Arabidopsis thaliana: one gene and its partners. The protein of the gene in region 3 purifies or fractionates together with the protein of the main gene of each other region. This does not show direct contact. Each region holds a gene or a part of one and is shown on either strand. Other genes may lie near its edges. The genes, in order: AT2G07727, AT5G25450, PPR40 and AT5G13430.

Region 1 (5,634 bases), on a different chromosome or scaffold from region 3:
TCTTTCGATTCTGGAGAGTAAGCTTCAAGCTCAAGATCTCATTTGTGATCTTCTTCTTCGCGAACCTAATCTCAAGTGAACATTTATTATTGAATTCTCAATTTTCGTATAAAAATACCTGCCTTTCATTTTATTGAAGAGAAAACCTCCCCCCATTTGAACGAAGTCTCTGGCCTTCCCCGTTATGACTTTAGAGTATCTCTCACGTCTTATAAGTCACTTAAAAATGAATGGGCGGATAGGACCACTCCTGCTTGCTCTTGGCCTTGGCTGCTTAGAGACATCCCTTTAGTTCGTCTTAGAGGTCTCGATTGGTATTGCGCGGTCGGTAACGTTGGTGAATTAGGTAAAGGTACGGAAAGAGAGGGATTCGAACCCTCGGTAAACAAAAGCCTACATAGCAGTTCCAATGCTACGCCTTAAACCACTCGGCCATCTCTCCTACATTATGACCCAGAAACCTCGAGTGAATAGCGAGTCATTTATATTCTTGCAGTAAAGGTACAACCACAAACAATCTATTAAAAATGGAAACCTTTTTAGTCAAAGAAAGATCTTCCTTCGAAGAAAAAAAAACAATAAGAATTGTTACCATTAAAAAAAAAGCACTCTTTCTATTCATCTTTGTCAAGACGACGATCTCGTTATATTATTATATTTATACCGGATTTTGCCAATGAATTGGAACGCGAATCAACTACTCCCTTCATGGTCACATAGTCATTACAGAATTTTGTTTCAGGTATATATGTCTTTCTTAATTTCATATTGGTAGTACCTATTTTTCTATATAAATTCTTTGTGGTTTTTACCGCCCGCCGGTTCGCTTATCGCCTTTTTTTCCTCCGTTCACTTTCTCCTTTATCTTCTTCCTACCTTGCGGGGGTGACTTAGGCGCTAGGGTTAATACCATATTATATCGAATAACTCCTTACCTTTTTTCAAGAGAAGCCTGATTCTAGTCAGGATTGAAAAGATAATGACGAACCTTAAATGAAAGGTTGGTCCAATCTGAGTGCTTATTGTCTTCTTCTTCGCCTCTCCTCTTCCGCCCGAGCTGATCCGAATTCTCCTCTTAGTATAGGATTGTTAATAACTTGACTTAATGGTTATAGTGTAAAGGTTAGTTCTATATTTTTTCTTTCTTTATCAGAGGTTTTTTCCTTAGGCCTTGGGGGGCGGGGCCTCTTTTTTGATTTTTTAATAAAAAAAGGGGGAGAGGGACCCTTTTTGATTTTTGAAGTACAGCCCTACTCTATAGTGGAGTTATCTTTTCCCTATCTAAGCTATATCAACATAGCAAACTAGAAAACTTATCTGCTTGTCAATTCTTGGTGTAATATGTAAATGATTGGTGTCAGAATTTTTCACTGATCAGGTGTGATCAGTCTCATCCGTGTAAGAATTAGGAATTCCTCTTCCAACTCGTCCCAGAATGGGCGTTATGGCAAAGAACAAGAAGAAAACCAAAGGAGAAATTTGTCCAATAGTAACAAATGGTGCCTCCACAGGTTGACATCCGATCCAACCTAGTAGTAAGCAATCCGCCAAAAGCAACCAAAACATTCCTTGGTGAATCGGTCGAAAACTTGAACTACGCACATACATACTTTTAAAAAAAGGTAAAGCCAAGAGACATATAAAAACTGGTGCTATTGCGGCTACACCTCCCGCTTTGTCAGGTATACTACGAAGAATGGCATGGATCGGTAGGAAATACCATTCCGGCACAATATGAGGCGGGGTGGACATCGGATTAGCAGGTATATAATTGTCGGGATGTCCCAAAACATTAGGAGCATAAAAAATCCAAATAGAAAAAAAGATAGCAAAAGCTACCCAACCAACTAGATCCTTGACATAAAAATAAGGGTAAAAAGCTATTTTATCCATCTCAGAATGTACACCCAATGGATTATTTGATCCATATTGATGCAATGCGGCCAGATGAAGAAGACTGGCGCCTACTAAAATAAAGGGGAGTAAATGATGAAGACTAAAAAAACGATTTAAGGTGGCATTGTCCACGGAGAAACCACCCCAAAGCCAAGTCACTATGGTATCTCCTACTACAGGTATGGCGCTAGCTAAGCTTGTAATTACTGTAGCTCCCCAAAAGCTCATCTGACCCCAAGGTAGTACATATCCTATAAAAGCTGTCACAATCATTAATAGGAAGATTACAACTCCAAGACACCAAACAAATTCCCTAGGACTGCTATAACTCGCATGATATAGACCACGAAAAATATGAAGGTAAACCACAATAAGAAACATACTTGCCCCATTAGCATGCATATAACGGAGCAACCAGCCCCCTTCAACATCTCTCATAATGTGTTCTACGCTGTTGAAAGCTAAATCCACATGAGGTGTGTAATGCATAGCTAAAAAAACGCCAGTCACTATCTGAATGACTAAACAAATACCAGCTAACGGACCGAACCCCCACCAATAACTAAGATTGCTCGGGGTTGGATAATCTACTAAATGCTGATTAAGTGTGGAGGATATAGGTTGTTTAAGAAGAGAGAATCGTTGGTTCCTTATAGTCATTTCTCTTTCCTATCGTGACAACTCTTGTTCACCCACCTTTTTTTTGCGTTCTAGGGCCCTAAAATATCCTCAAATATATATATAATATTGATATTTGAGCCTTTCTTTTACTTTTGAAGGATGGAGGGGGCGAATTAAGCGTCGACGTTTTTAGAATTCTTTCTCCTACACACTTTTGCCCTCTTTCACCGAAAAGGAAAGAAGAATCTTTCAAGCGGGCAGAGACCTAAATTTCTTAGATTCATTCCTAAGCTTGCTTTGTCGCAGCAAGATGGATTGGATGATCAGTCCGAGAGTGCTGGAGAGAAGAGAAAGCGGTCAAAACTTCTCTGATTCGGTCACCGAGCAGTCGGACAACCCTTCAGTAACCCAGGATGGATGACCCGAGAGAAGATCTCGTCCACCAAGCGGGATAGCGGAGTGCGATCCTTAAGCAATTGGAGGTTCTCGCTCATCTCTTGGGATCCATATCATCTGTGAAAACTTTTCCTGTTACATTAGCATAGCTAAATTTGAATAGGATGACTCAGCGTCAGGAAAAGTAAGCCCCCCTTTGCCTTGATTGAATTTGGCTTCGCTGCGCTCTGAATCAATCAATAAGCTTATTGATTGGATTCATCCCATTTCATTTGGGCGAGAGGTCCGAAGGAACAAAGGAGCTCGACTGTAAGGAGAGGAACGAGAGTGAAACGAGAGGGAGGCTGGGGCTTATCCATGGGACTTGCCTTGGCGGTTAGACTCTCTTTTAACACATCCTCGAATTAGTCTCGTCGGTTGGTTGATTCTCGAAATCACCTCTTGAGAAAAAAAAAAAAAAGGTCCATCAGGTTTTGCCCTGCCATCTCCGGCGAAGCTCCATATCCGTGAGACTGGATCACTGTAATTCACAGAAGTCCATTTGGACCTCTCCTTTTAGTCGAGTATGTAAACAACCTCTCCTTTCAGTCGAGTTCCCTCTTTTATAAGAGTAATAAATTACGTTGGACCTCTCGCAACAAGTGCTCGAGTAATAAATACCTCTCCTTTTAGTCGAGTCATTTATACCTCTCGGGAGTAGGGGCTTTGTTCTGGGGGGGCCGACTTGCGCTGCTTTAGAAGGGAGATAATTTCATAAAGTAACTCTCTCTATCTATCCTTAGAAGTAGGGCGATAGAAAGTCAATATGAGATTTGCGTTGGTTTTTCCAACGAAACAAAGCATTATCATTCGGAAGGCTCAGTCCCAACTCGGACTTCCATGATGGGAAGAACCTCCGCACTACGGCGCTCCAATGAACAAGAGTTCTCCGCCTTAGTATATTTAGAAGAGTGGTCGGGAGTTACATTCGTAAGTTAATGTTATGTTCATGCATTATATCTTTCTTTCCAAGAGTACTACCTGTACGTAGTCTATGTATGGGGAGCATACTTGACAGGAAATAGACACAAGCGGTAGAGAGGTCCCCCACTTCGATTCCCGCCCCGTTCGCATCTCCGATCCAAGATAAGGGTTTTAAATACGTTACTTTTCGGTCCGGAGCCGGCTGGTAATGGGCTTACTTACCTTGCTTGTGGACCAGCTGCGGAGCTAACCTTTCTTTGTTCTATTGGTTTGGTGGTTGCTACCAAGACGATTTATTTATGCCCATCAAAGAACCTCGAGATGCTAATCCACGAAAAACGATACGAGAAATTCGAAAGAACTCAGATACAGAACGAGGGCGACCGTGGAAATACATCGGTTTCTGACTCGTGCAAAGGAACTATTTCTTGGCAACTTGGACAACTTATAACAATGTTTGTCCCGCATATCACTAGGAAGATCGGGATCTTTACAAAAGGCTTTATAAAGCTTTCGTCTCAATTCAAATTTAGCCGCGAGCAATCTACGTTTGTGATCTCTACTATTTTGCTTCTACGACATCTTACTGAGTTTCCCCCTCATCTTTTTGCAAAAAACCGCTCCACAGTGGTAAAGTCTCATCTTGTGTGTTGGCCGAAGTGATAATAGTCACATTGAACCCCCGAATATGTTCGAAGATCTCGAAATGATCTTCCAGTTCCGGGGAGAATTCGCAAAACTCCGTTTCCATCGAGAATTGAATGGAGTTTTTCCGTATTTCGACCGGAAAATCTAATAGAGACATTACTGTCGAGATTCTGACCGAAAAATTAGACATTCCATGCCCTCGGAGAGTGCTTTGTCGTGCTAGGTCACTTACATATCCTTTGTCTTTATTTGACCCCAAGAATGGATTAGATCGAAAGGACTTTCCTGTCGAACCCCTTTGTGTCTGTATGAATTTCTGACCGCGCGGAATCTCCATAGCCAATTTTCCATTTTTTATTATGAAATTATAGGGTGCCTTTGGTACTACTCTTATTTCACACGATCCAGGAACTTCCATAACGTTGGCGTGATTCGGTTTGAGCAACGGATCTTGACGTGATACATCTTCGTAATGAAAATTGAGTGGAAACATGAGTTGGCTTTTACAGTATCTATAGAATAAGCTGACTCCTCCTACTCCTCCTTTCCGAAAAGATCATCCTTGGTCCTTTTGACATAAGATTCTCGGCCCGCTTTCTCCCCATCCTCACAAGCCAACCTGACAGCCTCGCAAGATAACACGTACAAAGACAGATCAGATCAAAGGGTTACTCCCAGCAACATTACTAACACTTTACTGAACTAATGAACATCCATATAACTTTCCTTCACTAATTTCTTTAGACGGACTTCCCTCTTCTCTTATTACAGTTAGAACGGATTGAAAAAACAACTTACACATTTGGCACAAAGCGGCCCCATTACAAACAGGAGCGGCGGGACCGGGACCTCCACTAGATTTAGGGAGGCAGATTGCCCAAACAAAGCACTTCACTCTTATCTTATCTTATAGTGAAATTCCAGATCAAAACCAAACAAAGCACGCGTCTTCTTAACTAACTATTTAGTTAGATTCCAGATGACAACCATTCTACAAGACAAAGACGATTCAAGAAGCCGTGCCTTGAAGAAAAAACGATTCCAAATTACAAAACATTCGAAATGACCTCCTCCCAATAATCTAAGAGCTACAACGCAGCGCAAAGAAGC
Region 2 (4,069 bases), on a different chromosome or scaffold from region 3:
GCGGATCTTATAGGCATGGGAAACTGTTTTCTAACCGAACAACTTGCAACAATTCCAGGTATATATGAATCTGTGTGAGGAGACACATCAATCCCAAGACGTTATCTCCATCTAAGGAAGGTGTTGGCATGGCCATCGCCGTTAAGAGATTTTACTTAACCTATGAAGAAGCCTTGCAAAAGTGATTTGTAAGAAATTAACCTCTACGAGAGAGACTGATCACTCATATATGTATGCTTAACACGGCAGCCGAGGTTTGTAGGTTGACCTAGAGTTTCTACGACATAACCTGCATCCAAGCTTGGTCAAGCTCATTGGTTACGGTTCGGATGATAATTGTTGTTCATTGTTTCTGAATACTTTCCAAACGGAAGCTTAGAGCGTTACATTTATAGGAGTAAGCAAGCTAGAAAATTGTATTGAGCGCATTTCTTAGAATTTACTACGAACCTCCTGAATACATATTCTCAGGTAAGTCCTCTCTCAAGCTACAGAATGACCATTAAAATTCATACACTAACCTAAAACTGATTGCACGGTAATACGCATATACAGGGAGATCACACATGGCGGGCGATGTATACAGCTTCGGTGTTATACTATTTGAGATCTTAACTGGTTTGGGAAACCCGTGCATCATCTTAGCAGAGGAAGCAACAGAGAATAGAAAAGAAAACATTGTGGAAATGATCGATCCAGATTTAGAGAATAGCTATCGTGTTGAAGAGGGGATGCGTATGTGCAAGCTCATAAAACTGCCTTGAAAGAGATCCCAAGGAAAGACCATCCATGCAACAAGTGCTAGATAATTTGAATGCTATAGCCCATATTTGAGAGGACAAACTAAGGGTTATAAAGGATTGTGGTTCAGAGGTTACACGCCTCTCTTCAGAGCTCCTATGAGGAACTGTGAAAACATTTCCAAAAGCTAGCTTAAGGGTTTGTGTGCCTTTATGTCTTTATGTAGCATGATTTACTCTCCTCCTACCGGTGTGGGATATTTTACTCATATTTCTGTAATAGCTCAATCAAGCTTACATTACACATCCAATTCAATCTCATAAAATCTTATACATAAGGTTCACATATCCATGCATAACCATACAAAAGCAAATTGTGCGGTATTGAAGCCTAAAGAGTACTAAAACAGTGACCCTACTATAAGCACAAGAGAGACTAACATGCTTAAGGAATGGTTCTTTGGTAGAGAGGTAAAGCTCCCAAAGCCTCTCTCTCAGCTCTCTCCCGCTTCACCTGCACATGAAGTGTCGTGTGTTAGAACTTTGCTATATGATTCTTCTATCACTACAAGATAGATAAAACTGTTTTTGTTCTTACAAGAGCCAACATGTCTTGGAGGTAGCTCCTGAATGGAGTCTGCACTGCCTGTGGAATTACAGAGACAAGGAAAAGAAAAAAAGATTTACATAAGCTTCCTATCTCACAACTAACAAGCACTATCTCAAAAAAAACTTCTTTCATAGACAAGATCTTACAAAGCTTATCAAGTTACAATTATATTACAGAACCAAAACAGGTTTCTGAAAACAGAGTGTTCTTGATCCTAATACAAGTCTTAAGTCAAATCTTGCAAGCTCTATCTACAAACTCCATAGCTATATACCGTTTTAGCTCTGTTGTCACTTACTTAGAGACTAAAACATACCTGAAGATTATCTGGGAGGTATTCATGTTTCATAGAAAGATCCATTGCACGCATAAGACGCTGGTTCCGAGCATCAACAATCTCTCTCGGTAAACGATTAAGAGCTTCTTTAATATCCAAATCATACAAAGGATCATAAAGATCGTCGTATCTAAGACCTAAAAAATCGTAAAATTCCCAAAATCAGCCAGAAGAGAATTAGGGTTTGGTTTCTAGGGTAAGAGAGAAAGAAAGAGTACCGTATCTGCGGAGGCGATTAGAAACAGACTTCATATGCATACGAGCTAAGAAATTCTTCCTGGGATCTACTAGTCTCTGGAGAAACGACGCCATTATCTTCTTCGGAGTAACGTTGAAGATGTGAATTGTGATGAAACCCCTTCGCCGCTATTTGTAATTTAACCCGGGAACGAAGAAGGAAGAAGCATCCAGAGACATCTGTTTAAACGCCGTCGTATGAAACTCTAGCCAAACGGCGTAGTATGTACTCTTATCAAAAAACGGCGTCGTATGACTCACCAAATAAAACGCGTCAACCGTTGACTCTCAAACGCGTTTTCGTTGACTTTGCTCCTCGGTGTGAAAAACTAAAAGTCCTCTCTTCTTCATTGAACTCTAGTGTTAAGATTTAGCAGAGAGTATCCGAATGGGAAATTGTCTCTCAGCTTCGACACTTCCCACCGAACCAAATGCTCCCAAATCAGGTATACATATATATATTTCTCTGCGGATTTAAGTACTTTTGATTTGAATGTTACTATAATGGATATAAGTTTTGTTATAATATATGTATAGTGGAGGAGGGTGTGAAAGTCTTCACGGTGGCAGATCTGAAGAAAGCGACTAATGATTTCGGAAACCAGATGGAACTAGGAGAGAGCTTGGGATACATCAATCCCAAAACGTTATCTCCGGCCAAGAAAGGTGTTGGCATGGCCGTCGCGGTCAAGAAAATTTACTTAGCCAATGAACAAGCTTTTCAAGATTGGCTTGTAAGTAATTATATCATCTCAATCTATAGGAGAACCTTCGGCAAAACCAATAATATTGTTAAGTTTCTTGTTACTTATTTATTCTTCTAAATTTTTTGATGTTTTTGGATGGTAAATGTCTATGTTGCCTACCCCTAGAGATGGGTCAGTGTGTCTTAACATTAGAGATGATATTTTTGTAGGTTGACGTAGAGTTTCTACGACATAACTCTCATCCAAGCTTGGTGAAGCTAATTGGCTACTGTTATGATCGTGATATGTTGTTTATTGTTTCTGAATACTTTCCAAATGGAAGCTTAGGAAGTTACATCAGTAGAGGTAAGGAAGTTAAGTTTATTCATCTCCTTTTCGTCATTATATCTTGTGAGTAGACTCAAAGCAAGAAGAATCTTGCTCGAGCAAGACCCAAAGGTAAGAGCTCTTAATAAGAGCTTTAAAACTAGATCTAAAAATTGAGATAGCTCATTAGAGCTTTATTTAGTGGAAGTGAGGAAAATATACTAATTGAAGAACACCAAGCTAAATGATTCCTAGATAATTTAATATCATAGAGAGGGAATAAAGAGAGTTGCTCAAATTGATTTCTGGAGCTCTCACGAGTTTACGATCTTAACCTTAGATCCAATAGTAATTCATCTTCCTTTTGGATTTAATGGTTTATATAATATCATAGATAGTCGTCCAAAGTCATTGCCGTGGGAGACACGACTTAAGATATCCATAGGAGCGGCTCAGTGTCTTGCCTTCTTGCACTCTAGGAAGCAAGCCGGTCTATACCGCAGATATCTCACTGCTTCGAAAATCCTGCTCGACTCGGTTTGTATTCACCTTGCCTTTTTTGTTTTTTTTCTTGAATACTTGCTCCTTACCTTTAAAGTGACATTTATGGGATATGCAGGACTTCAACGCAAGAGTTTCCTATTTTGGAAAGCCAAAAGTTTCTCTCGATGAATTGGTATACACCATCGGGTTTTCAAATGTAGCACCTAGATATCAATACCCACCTCCCGAATACATACTCTCAGGCAACAATCTTCTGCTTCTTCCTTATATCTTAAAGTTAAAAGTGACCATTAAATTCAAAGAGACTAACCTTAATTGATTGCACTAATCAAATGAAGGGATGTCGAACATGGCGGGCGATGTGTATAGCTTTGGTGTTATACTACTTAAAATGTTAACTGGTTTAGGAAAAGACCTCACAATCTCAGCAAAGCGAGAAATAAAAAATAAAAAGTACAACATTGTGGAGATGATCGATCCAGATTTGAAGAATAGCTATCCACTTGAAGCGGGAAGACTTATGTGCGAGCTTATTAAACAATGCCTAGAGGTAGACCCGAAGATGCGACCAACCATGCAAGAAGTGCTAGATAATCTGAATGCTATAGCTCAGATTTGAGGAGAAACT
Region 3 (4,769 bases):
ATAAAATGGATGTCTCTGTGAAAGGAAATTCTTATACGTATACTGATTATAGGGGTGACTTCTTGATTTCTTTTGATTTTACAACAGAGAGATTTGGACCGACTCTGCCTCTGCCGTTCCACTCTCGTTGTGGAGATATTGTGGCTCTCTCTAGTGTTAGAGAAGAGAAACTTGCAGTGTTACTTCACCGCTGCAATATATCAAGGATGGAGATATGGATTACTAACAAGATTGAGCCCAACAATGTGTCGTGGGGAAAGTTGTTCTTAACAGTGGACATGAAACCACTCATTATTGATGATGGAATTTTCTTCATTGACGAGGAGAAGAAAGTAGTTGTGGTTTTTGATAAGGACAAAGAGATGAGAAACCGTATCACAGCTTACATCATTGGAGAGAATGGATACTTCAGAAAAGTGGATCTCGGAGATTCTGAAAGTTTTCCTGTTAGGTGCTCTTATGTACCAAGTTCAGTGGAAATCAAGCAACTGGCAAAAGGCAAAAGCAACTAGTCCATTTACAATACCCAAATATTTGGTTCTTGCATTGTTTAATTACTACTACTCTTGCTTTGTCTTCTTTTCTCAGCTTCCTGATTCCTGAACAATATTGGTCTATTCTTAGTTCGTTTCTCATCTCTTACGTTGAAAAAAAGATTGTTAAGCATACTAGTTTGAGATCGAAACAACAAAATCATTCAATACTCATGTCCAATATAATCTGGCAAAACTGTTGTTTCCTAAACTGTTACACGGTAAGGGTATAAATTAGGGCCAAGGCTATCTAGTGCTAAACATACAAAATCTTTTGCCTTTTGACTGTCAAGTACCAACCAACTGCCATTACTATTGCCGCCACTTTCTCGGACTCAGAAATATATAAAAGCTTTGATCAATCAAAAGAACAAAACTTAATACTCTGTTCTGCATTTTGCACTCATGTTCTGTTTCTCTTCCGTCTGCATCAAAGAGGCAACCCGTGGCAAAGATCGGGTTCTTTCTCAGACATTTCCAAATGAAACGAACCCACTTTTCCGGTTTCTAAGCCTTCATAGGATATTCACACTCTCGAGGATTCAATTTCTATGAGGCTGACACGGTTTCTCTCGAGAGTCCACTTTTTCTTAGGTCAAGTTCTTCAACAAGACGCTTAGTATATGAATCTGGAACACATCCATGTCTTTCGATTGAACTGAACATCTCTCTTGCTTCACTCTCTCTTCCAGATTCACTTAGAGCTTTGATGAGAGTGCTATATGTAAAGTTATCTGGTTTCAAACCAATTCTCAGCATTGTTTTAAGCAATTCCTCAGCCTTCTTAACCTTTCTCATCTTGCAAAAACTCTGAATAGTCGCATTGTACGCATAAAGGTCTGGACTTAACCCGTTTTCCTTCATCTTCGCAAACAGCTTCACTGATCTATCGGTATCTCCGGTGGAACAACAGGAGCGAATCAAGATATTGTATGTGATCTCGTTTGGCTCAATACCCCATTCCAACATCTCCTTGAAACAGTCAAATGCATCTTTAATTTCTTTTGCTCTGCAAAGACAGTTTATGATCAAACTGAAAGTGATCACGTCTGGTTTGAAACCATGTACAAGAAGCTTCTCTAGCACGCCGTGAACCTTCTTTACATCACCCCTCACGCTATAACCGCTCAGAAAGGTATTGAAAGTTACGAGATTCGGAGAAATACCTCTATCCTGCATCTCTGTTAAGAACATAGCTGCATTCTCTATGCGTCGAGCCTTGCAGAGACAGTCAATTACCGCATTATAACTATATACACTTGATAGAAGCCCGTCAACACCCATTTGTTTCAGATACCGGTCACCTTCAGAGAACCTCTGAGCATTCAACAGAGCTTGAACTAACACAAGATAACCATTGAATCCTGGCTTAACTCCACGGCTGACAAAACCGTCAAATATCCTACAAGTCTCAACAAGATCATGCCCTTTTAGGAGACAACTCATCGCAGCATTGAATGTTGAGCTATCCGGAATATAACCTCTCTCACCTATCTTCCTCAAGAATTGACCAGTCTCTTTAGCCATTGAGTTGTTTGAAAGACAATACAACACAGCATCGTAACCAACTCTTTGCAAGTTTGAGTCTTTCTCCATAAACCCAACCAAAACCTCAAACGCTTTACACGGCGGCAAGCAACGGAAAATCCCGTGTACGAAAGTTCTGATTGTAGCTTCATTAGGATTCAACTTTCTCACCCGCATCATCTCCAATTGCTTCAACGCCTCATCAACCCTCCCTGCTATCAAAAACCCGTCGATCAAAATCGTGTATGTGAACACATTGGGTCTATTCCCTTCCTGTTCCATCTGTTTAACCAATCGAATAGCTTCATCAACCACACCCTTCTTGCAAACACCATGTATAAGTATATTATAGGTAAACCGATCCGGTTTACAGCCATCACTACGCATCTGCTGAAACTTGAGGTAAGCCAAATCAAGTGAATTAGACTTCACCAACGCATCAATCACAGCATTATAAAGCCTTGTACTTGGTTTCATTCCAAGAAAAGATATCTGAGCAAAAACATCATTACAGTACTTAGCTAAACCTAATCTTCCCCAGCTTCCGATCAAAACACACATCAATTCATCACTAATCCGATACCCTGAATCTCTAATCTCTTTAAGCAATTCCATAGACAACAATAAGGGGCCTTTACGAAAAAGTGCGTTCCCTAGAACACTCTTCAGAGACTGATCCTTAGCGTAAACCGGGTCGAAGTTGGAGACCCAGAGGTAAAATCGCAGGGAGTGTAATGGGTTGTCTTGATTCTGCAAAACGCTGATGACGAATCGAGTGTTGAGACCAATTCGATGAGTGGTGAATTCTTGATTCAGTATCAAAAACCAATCTTTTCTCTCTATGACTTGCGAAATGTAACGCTGGTTCAGAGGATTGGTGGGTTTACCTGAAGAGTTTAGGGTTTTTGAGAGCTTAGGGTTTACGGATGTGGAAGCGTTTAGTGATTTGGAAGCTGCTGCCGCCGTCGCTATTCTAGATGCTGAAGAAGCAAAGCCTCTCATGTCGTGACCAGAACGGAGCTGAGTGCAAGTGAAACATTGATTTGGTCTCTAACCTCAAGACGATGTTTCCTAAACGACGCTGTTTAATACACCAATATCAATATGTGTTCGAATTTAATAATTTTTTTTTTAGTTTCAGAATAAATTAAGAAAAAGTCATGACCAAAAAGATCATCTCCTTTGAAACAAACAAAAACAAAAGAATTTTGGTTGATCCTAATGACTCTTCCATTGCCACCATGAAAATGAGGGTTTTCATTATAGTTTATCCATCTCTTGATTACTATGAATTTTAATTTTCTTGTAATAATTATATTTCTAAGTGATAATTTTCTAATTTCTATCTTAAATTGTAGCATTGACTAAATATTTCCATCTTCATCTTCAAAAATATATTATGATAATATTAAGTTATTGCTAATGAGAGATGTAATAAAAAGAGTTGTGATGAAGTCATTATTATGCTATTTATGTATGATTAATAATATGTTATAAAAATTACTATTGCAATATATATAGTTTTCTTATATCATTGCATTTATTTATAAGAATAAGATACAAATCAAGTCCAATAACTTAGAGAAAATAAAGGCAACGCTAGAATCATCAATTTTGAGAGAAAATGGATTTATAAGTTTGTATTACTTTTGACAACAACATTTCACTGGACATGGAATACAAGGAGAACCACACTGTCCACCTTTTTGAAAGCCAGCTCTAAGACAGTCCTTATTACATTCATCATTCCAGTAATCTTCGGAACACCTAATATTGCAGTTGTCAAAAGAGAAGCCTTCGATCCTTGCATCTACACAAGTCCACATATATATCAAACATCATCAATACCAACATGTGTAAATTTTATATCATTCCAATAAAAAATAGTTATATAACATGTCCAAATAAAAGTTTTTAACGAAACTTTTGAATTCATGTATAATATATATATAAACAAAAACGTGATCATAACGAATTCCAAATATTTAGATATATAGCCTTTGAAATGATCACTACTAAATTGCAAAATAGCTAAACCAAACTTTGAAAATACCTGAAGCCAAAACGTTGTTGTTAGGCAACGAAACTGCAAGTATTATTACAAGGAAACATGTCACCAAAGTTTTCGTACTACCCATAATAAATTTTTCTATGAACTCTTTTGAGGTATTCAAATGTTTTTATTGTTTAGGATCTTAAGGATTGACTATTTATATATAACTTTTGGTCTTCAGTTTGTTTTATTACAATTAATTGATGATCCATTTTTGTTTCTCAAAGTTTTTTATTTTTGGCAAAAAAAATCATTTACATTTATGAATATATAATTATTTACAATTAATAATCCTAAATGAGAACTTAAAAATTGAAAAAAGTGTGTGACACTTGTGAATATGGTCAAAGGTAATTTGTTGGATATGTTGTCATTATGTTCAATCAATATCTCAAGTTAAATGCGAGATTTTAATTTCATAATTCAATATTGGAAATTTTTTTTTTATAATTAGGTATATTATAAATTTTAACTGATTTCAAAATTGATATTGACAAAACAAATTGAAAGGAAAATTAAATATTATCTGTAAAGTCATTATTGTTTTTGTTAATAAATATTTTTTAGTTTCATAATAAATTAGGAAAAAGTCATGATGACCAAAAAGATCAATAAGTTGAAAGTTGATAAATGTCTTGTTTTTTTTTTAATCATCT
Region 4 (4,948 bases), on a different chromosome or scaffold from region 3:
ATGTAGTTTATTCATTATTATGGAAATGGATGTTTTATCGTCTTTGGGCACATCATATAAGATACTTGCATCAGTAAACGAATCTGGAATTCCATATCTTTAACCAAAAGGGCTATGTTTGCAATCTTATCTTAGGAGTTTTCTTATGTTTTAAGCATTTATGATCATTGAAGTTCCTTCCTTGGATCTTGCGTTAGATAGATTAGTTTAGTTTTCACTGAATTTGATATCATGGTAGAAAATTGTTTGGATGACACCTTCTGTTATCTCTTGGAATCCGTTTTTATAATCTTATGTTATTCTATGCATTAATGTTAAATGTTTGCTAGTGTTATTCCTTTCTTCTGTGTTATCTCTTGAAAATATTTTTGCTTAATACTTGGTGTTGTTGAACACTTGACCAAGTATAAAGTTTGCCCTTGATGTGAAATATTAATGTTTCATGCTATTTTCAGGTTTTGCTTCTCAAGTCATTACTCAGGGAAATGAGATAGGTTTTGGTTCGGAAGTCCCAGCCACAGTCGAAGCTGTCAAAACACCTAACTCAAAGATTGTCTATGACGACCATAACCATGAGCGTTACCCACCTGGTGACCCTAGCAAGCGGGCATTCGCCTATTTTGTCTTGTCGGGTGGAAGGTTTGTTTATGCCTCTGTTCTCCGCCTGCTTGTTCTGAAGCTTATTGTGAGCATGTCTGCAAGTAAAGATGTCCTTGCCCTTGCATCCCTCGAGGTTGACCTAGGGAGCATAGAACCAGGAACTACCGTGACAGTCAAGTGGCGTGGAAAGCCCGTCTTCATCAGGCGAAGAACAGAAGATGACATCAAGCTGGCCAATAGTGTGGATGTTGGATCCCTGAGGGACCCACAAGAAGACTCGGTTAGAGTCAAGAATCCAGAATGGTTGATCGTGGTTGGAGTATGCACTCATTTGGGGTGCATCCCCTTGCCTAATGCTGGTGATTATGGTGGTTGGTTTTGTCCGTGTCACGGATCACATTACGATATATCTGGAAGAATTAGGAAAGGTCCTGCACCATACAACCTGGAAGTACCGACCTACAGCTTCTTGGAAGAGAATAAATTACTCATTGGTTAATGAATAAAGCACAACAGTCCGAGTGTCATGGTCTGGATGATCTTAAATCTGTTTTTGTTTTTATATTTTCCGGCATTTTAGCGTGCAAGTTCGCTTTCCTCACACTTTGGGCTCAGCAAAAATTGGCTTGTTTTGCTGAATAATACAAACTTGTCATTGTATGACTTAGTATCTGTCTCATCTGGTGAAAATACATTGTTCATACTTCATAGTCTCTGTTTATTATTTGAAAAGAGTTTTGAATAGTATCATCCCTATTTTTCTTATGTTTGTAATTTTGTAACATATCGTTTGTAAGAGAGTTTCCTTTCCTTAAAGTCTGTAGCCATTATCACAATTGAGACAAAAACTTGGTAAGGTTCAAGGTGTGTTATAAAACTTTCGTGTTCTTACTGGAGACGACATTTCGAAGACCTTCAATTCTCAACTAAGCCATAAACCTTCTCTTCCATAGTGAGAAATCCAATTGTGAACCTCGAGACTACTACTTTGATGAAAGATGTCATATTCTGGTTGTGGATCTTAGCCTAATTTTCTTGTTCAGATTGTTTTCATCGATGACTACTTCTTTGATGATGTCCTTCTAGCTCTTTCTTCTAGTATTGAAAAGTTCACACAGATGTAAAACAGTCTTTTTGTTGGAAATCTTGTTTAAACATTACAACAACAAAATATATCCTTTACCAAGTATAGACCCCCTATTATTATTATTAAAAATTACGATTTTTATACAAATAAAATAATTTATCTTACAAATACACACACACAAAAAAATTATATCGTAAAACCAAAAGATTTTATTAATTAAAATTAGAAAAAAAACCATGCCATCAAAATCCTGAAGTAAAAAAATATCAAGTAATACGCAAAAACCAAAAAAAACAAAACAAATTGACCTTTTCTCAAAGACAATTTTTAAGGGACTTACTAGTAAGTAGTCTCTTATGTTTTGTTTTGCATCGGCCGTCCCAAACCTGAGGATTTCTCTGTTCAGCTAGAGCGAAACCCTAGATTCACATTTGAGCTGAGAGATGCTGCGTGTAGCAGGGAGGAGGCTTTTCTCTGTCTCGCAGAGATCTTCGACTGCGACCTCCTTCGTCGTCTCCCGTGACCATACCCTTTCCGATGGTGGCGGCGACTCCTCTTCAGCTCCCAGATCCCTCCCCTCTGCAGATCTCTCATCTTACCACCGTAGCCTTATCAGAGGTTTGCCGATTTATAACCCTTTCCCTCTCTCTCTACATTGATTTTTCATTTTCGGTGGTTCTTTGCAGTTTTATTTGATTGATTGATTTTTGAAAAGGTCTTCTTTTTTTGGTTGTATGATTCACGGGAATGATTGAGATTTCTAGTATTGTATCTGCAATGATCCGTGGGAACAAACGTGTCATCTGATTTGAATTCCATGAGCTTGATGTACCATTTGGCTACATTCTTCTCCTTGCTGGATTTGTATTGCATTTGATGATTACTTCTTTCGTGTGGATTGTTCAGTTCTGAGATAATCCTTTGTTTTACTAGGAAAGTTTCCTCTTTTCGGTGCGTTAATCATAGTATGATTCACCACTGGCTTCTTGGTTTTTGAAATTTGATCTTGTGTATCAATCCTTTTGAGTTCTTCATTGTTAGGGACATGGATGTTTTAACTGTATACTATGTTTGTAGGATTTATAGCTGTTTAAAGGCATGCTGAGGAACTTGCATTCTGAAATTTATGTTTTCTTAACCAAAGAGCTTTGTTTGTTCTTAGCATTGGAAATTTTGTTGTGTTTTAAGCGTTTCTGTAATATACAGCATCTGATCAATATATTTTTTTCTCTTGGTTTATTACGTTGGTTTTAGTATTTAAGGTTTCACTGAATTTGTTATTATTGATTTGTTTGGATGAATTTGGTATACTTGGCTTCTCTGATTCATTCTTTCGTCCAGAAGGAAATGAACATTTGAGTTTATTGATGGATTATGGATTGACCTGTTTAGATGTAATTCTTTGGTTGATGACTAAAGCTCCTTGCTTGTAAATCATTGGAATGCGTTATCCATAGTGTGATTCACATTGGCTTCTAGATTCCAATTTTTTGTTCTTCTGTTTCCATGTTGATCATTGAATTTGTTCTCTTGTTTTTTTTATGGAGATTATCGTATTTAAGTTTCCACTCCCCGAGTTTGATACGATGGTTTGAATTGTTTGGATGGATCTCATACTTCATGGAATCCGTTTTATGTACTTTTGTTTTTCCTTAGAAGATTATACATCAATGGTCACATCTTGATTGTGGTAGTCCTGTGGCTTATTCTTATTCTTGTAGAACACTTGACCAAGTATAAAGTTTGCCTTTGATGTGAAATATTAATGTTTCATGCTATTTTCAGGCTTCTCTTCTCAAGTCCTTGCTCAAGGAAATGAGATAGGTTTTGGTTCAGAAGTCCCAGCCACAGTCGAAGCTGTCAAAACGCCTAACTCAAAGATTGTCTATGATGACCATAACCATGAGCGTTACCCACCTGGTGACCCTAGCAAGCGTGCATTCGCCTATTTTGTCTTGTCGGGTGGGAGGTTTGTTTATGCCTCTGTCCTCCGCCTGCTTGTTTTGAAGCTTATTGTGAGCATGTCTGCAAGTAAAGATGTCCTTGCCCTTGCATCCCTTGAGGTTGACCTAGGGAGCATAGAACCAGGAACTACCGTGACAGTCAAGTGGCGTGGAAAGCCCGTCTTCATCAGGCGAAGAACAGAAGATGACATCAAGCTGGCCAATAGTGTGGATGTTGGATCCCTGAGGGACCCACAAGAAGACTCGGTTAGGGTCAAGAATCCAGAATGGTTAGTGGTTGTTGGAGTGTGCACTCATTTGGGGTGCATCCCCTTGCCTAATGCTGGTGATTATGGTGGTTGGTTTTGTCCGTGTCACGGATCACATTACGATATATCTGGAAGAATTAGGAAAGGTCCTGCACCATACAACCTGGAAGTACCAACCTACAGCTTCCTGGAAGAGAATAAGTTACTCATCGGTTGATTAATAAAAGCACAACAGTCAAGAGTCTGGATCTGAATGATGATCTTCACTTGTTCTTTTTTTCTTTTAATTAATATTTTCCGGCATGTTAGAGCAAGATTGACTTGTTTTTGCTGAATAATACAAACTTGTGATTTTTGTTTGAAGTATACTCAATCTTCGTTTATCCATCGCTAGTAAAAGACGACTATGTTCATAGTCTGTGTTTATTATTTAACATGCCTATTTGTCCTATGTATGAGTGAGATTCCTTTCGTATCTCATAATTCTAAACATCGTCATTCCAATTAAAAAGTTGTATTTACATTTGAGTTTCGATAGTATCTCAACGTTCATAAAAGAAAAACTAAAGGTATGAGAAAAACCAACGTAGAAACAAACAACAAAAGGTAATATATCAGCTTTGATTGATAGTTTACAGGAAGATAACCGAATAAGTTCAAACTGTATTCGTAAGACATCCCGTGAATGAATATTCAATCATCCAAAAGTGGCATAGCTAGATTTTTTCTAGATTGGCTAAGAACACAAAAACATAATATTTTATTCTGTTTAATCTTTTTTAGTTAAGAAAAAATGTTTGACACACAAAAGCCAAAGTTTGATTTGGGTAAAAACCATTGTGGGAGATGAAAATGTTAAAATCTTGTTTGTTTTGGTCACCAACAACGGCCATGAACTATATGGGAAGTGACTTATCTCTTGTAAGTTGTTTTCCTTTTGGGATATGGGAAGTGACTTCTCCGACCCTTGCAAACTAACAACGGCCATTACACACTAATTACAAGCCAAAGGTCCTCACTAAGCAACCTCTCGTGTTTATCATAAGACA

The links.
Region 1: the proteins of PPR40 (region 3) and AT2G07727 fractionate together in Arabidopsis thaliana (co-fractionation; one study listed by BioGRID). This does not show direct contact.
Region 2: the proteins of PPR40 (region 3) and AT5G25450 fractionate together in Arabidopsis thaliana (co-fractionation; one study listed by BioGRID). This does not show direct contact.
Region 4: the proteins of PPR40 (region 3) and AT5G13430 fractionate together in Arabidopsis thaliana (co-fractionation; one study listed by BioGRID). This does not show direct contact.

The regions. Positions count from the first base shown.
Region 1 is NC_003071.7:3,447,785-3,453,418, reverse strand, and holds AT2G07727 (cytochrome b), read right to left. Parts: upstream 3,886-5,634; 5' UTR 2,557-3,885; coding exon 1,375-2,556; 3' UTR 643-1,374; downstream 1-642. Other genes in the region: AT2G07725 (Ribosomal L5P family protein), read right to left, coding at 4,460-5,017. UniProt on the Arabidopsis thaliana protein: Component of the ubiquinol-cytochrome c oxidoreductase, a multisubunit transmembrane complex that is part of the mitochondrial electron transport chain which drives oxidative phosphorylation.
Region 2 is NC_003076.8:8,854,966-8,859,034, reverse strand, and holds AT5G25450 (Cytochrome bd ubiquinol oxidase, 14kDa subunit), read right to left. Parts: upstream 2,119-4,069; 5' UTR 2,000-2,118; coding exon 1,906-1,999; intron 1,825-1,905; coding exon 1,667-1,824; coding exon of another isoform or gene 1,649-1,666; exon of another isoform or gene 1,387-1,648; coding exon 1,339-1,386; intron 1,255-1,338; coding exon 1,186-1,254; 3' UTR 559-1,185; downstream 1-558. Other genes in the region: AT5G25440 (Protein kinase superfamily protein), read left to right, coding at 2,313-2,370, 2,462-2,715, 2,841-2,976, 3,332-3,474, 3,557-3,683, 3,780-4,060. UniProt on the Arabidopsis thaliana protein: Component of the ubiquinol-cytochrome c oxidoreductase, a multisubunit transmembrane complex that is part of the mitochondrial electron transport chain which drives oxidative phosphorylation.
Region 3 is NC_003074.8:5,767,319-5,772,087, forward strand, and holds PPR40 (pentatricopeptide (PPR) domain protein 40), read right to left. Parts: upstream 3,119-4,769; 5' UTR 3,063-3,118; coding exon 1,083-3,062; 3' UTR 659-1,082; downstream 1-658. Other genes in the region: AT3G16880 (F-box and associated interaction domains-containing protein), read left to right, coding at 1-512; AT3G16895 (Cysteine-rich protein), read right to left, coding at 3,704-3,870, 4,114-4,198. UniProt on the Arabidopsis thaliana protein: Required for the ubiquinol-cytochrome c oxidoreductase activity of mitochondrial complex III.
Region 4 is NC_003076.8:4,304,582-4,309,529, reverse strand, and holds AT5G13430 (Ubiquinol-cytochrome C reductase iron-sulfur subunit), read left to right. Parts: upstream 1-1,959; 5' UTR 1,960-2,130; coding exon 2,131-2,305; intron 2,306-3,472; coding exon 3,473-4,116; 3' UTR 4,117-4,424; downstream 4,425-4,948. Other genes in the region: AT5G13440 (Ubiquinol-cytochrome C reductase iron-sulfur subunit), read left to right, coding at 456-1,099. UniProt on the Arabidopsis thaliana protein: Component of the ubiquinol-cytochrome c oxidoreductase, a multisubunit transmembrane complex that is part of the mitochondrial electron transport chain which drives oxidative phosphorylation.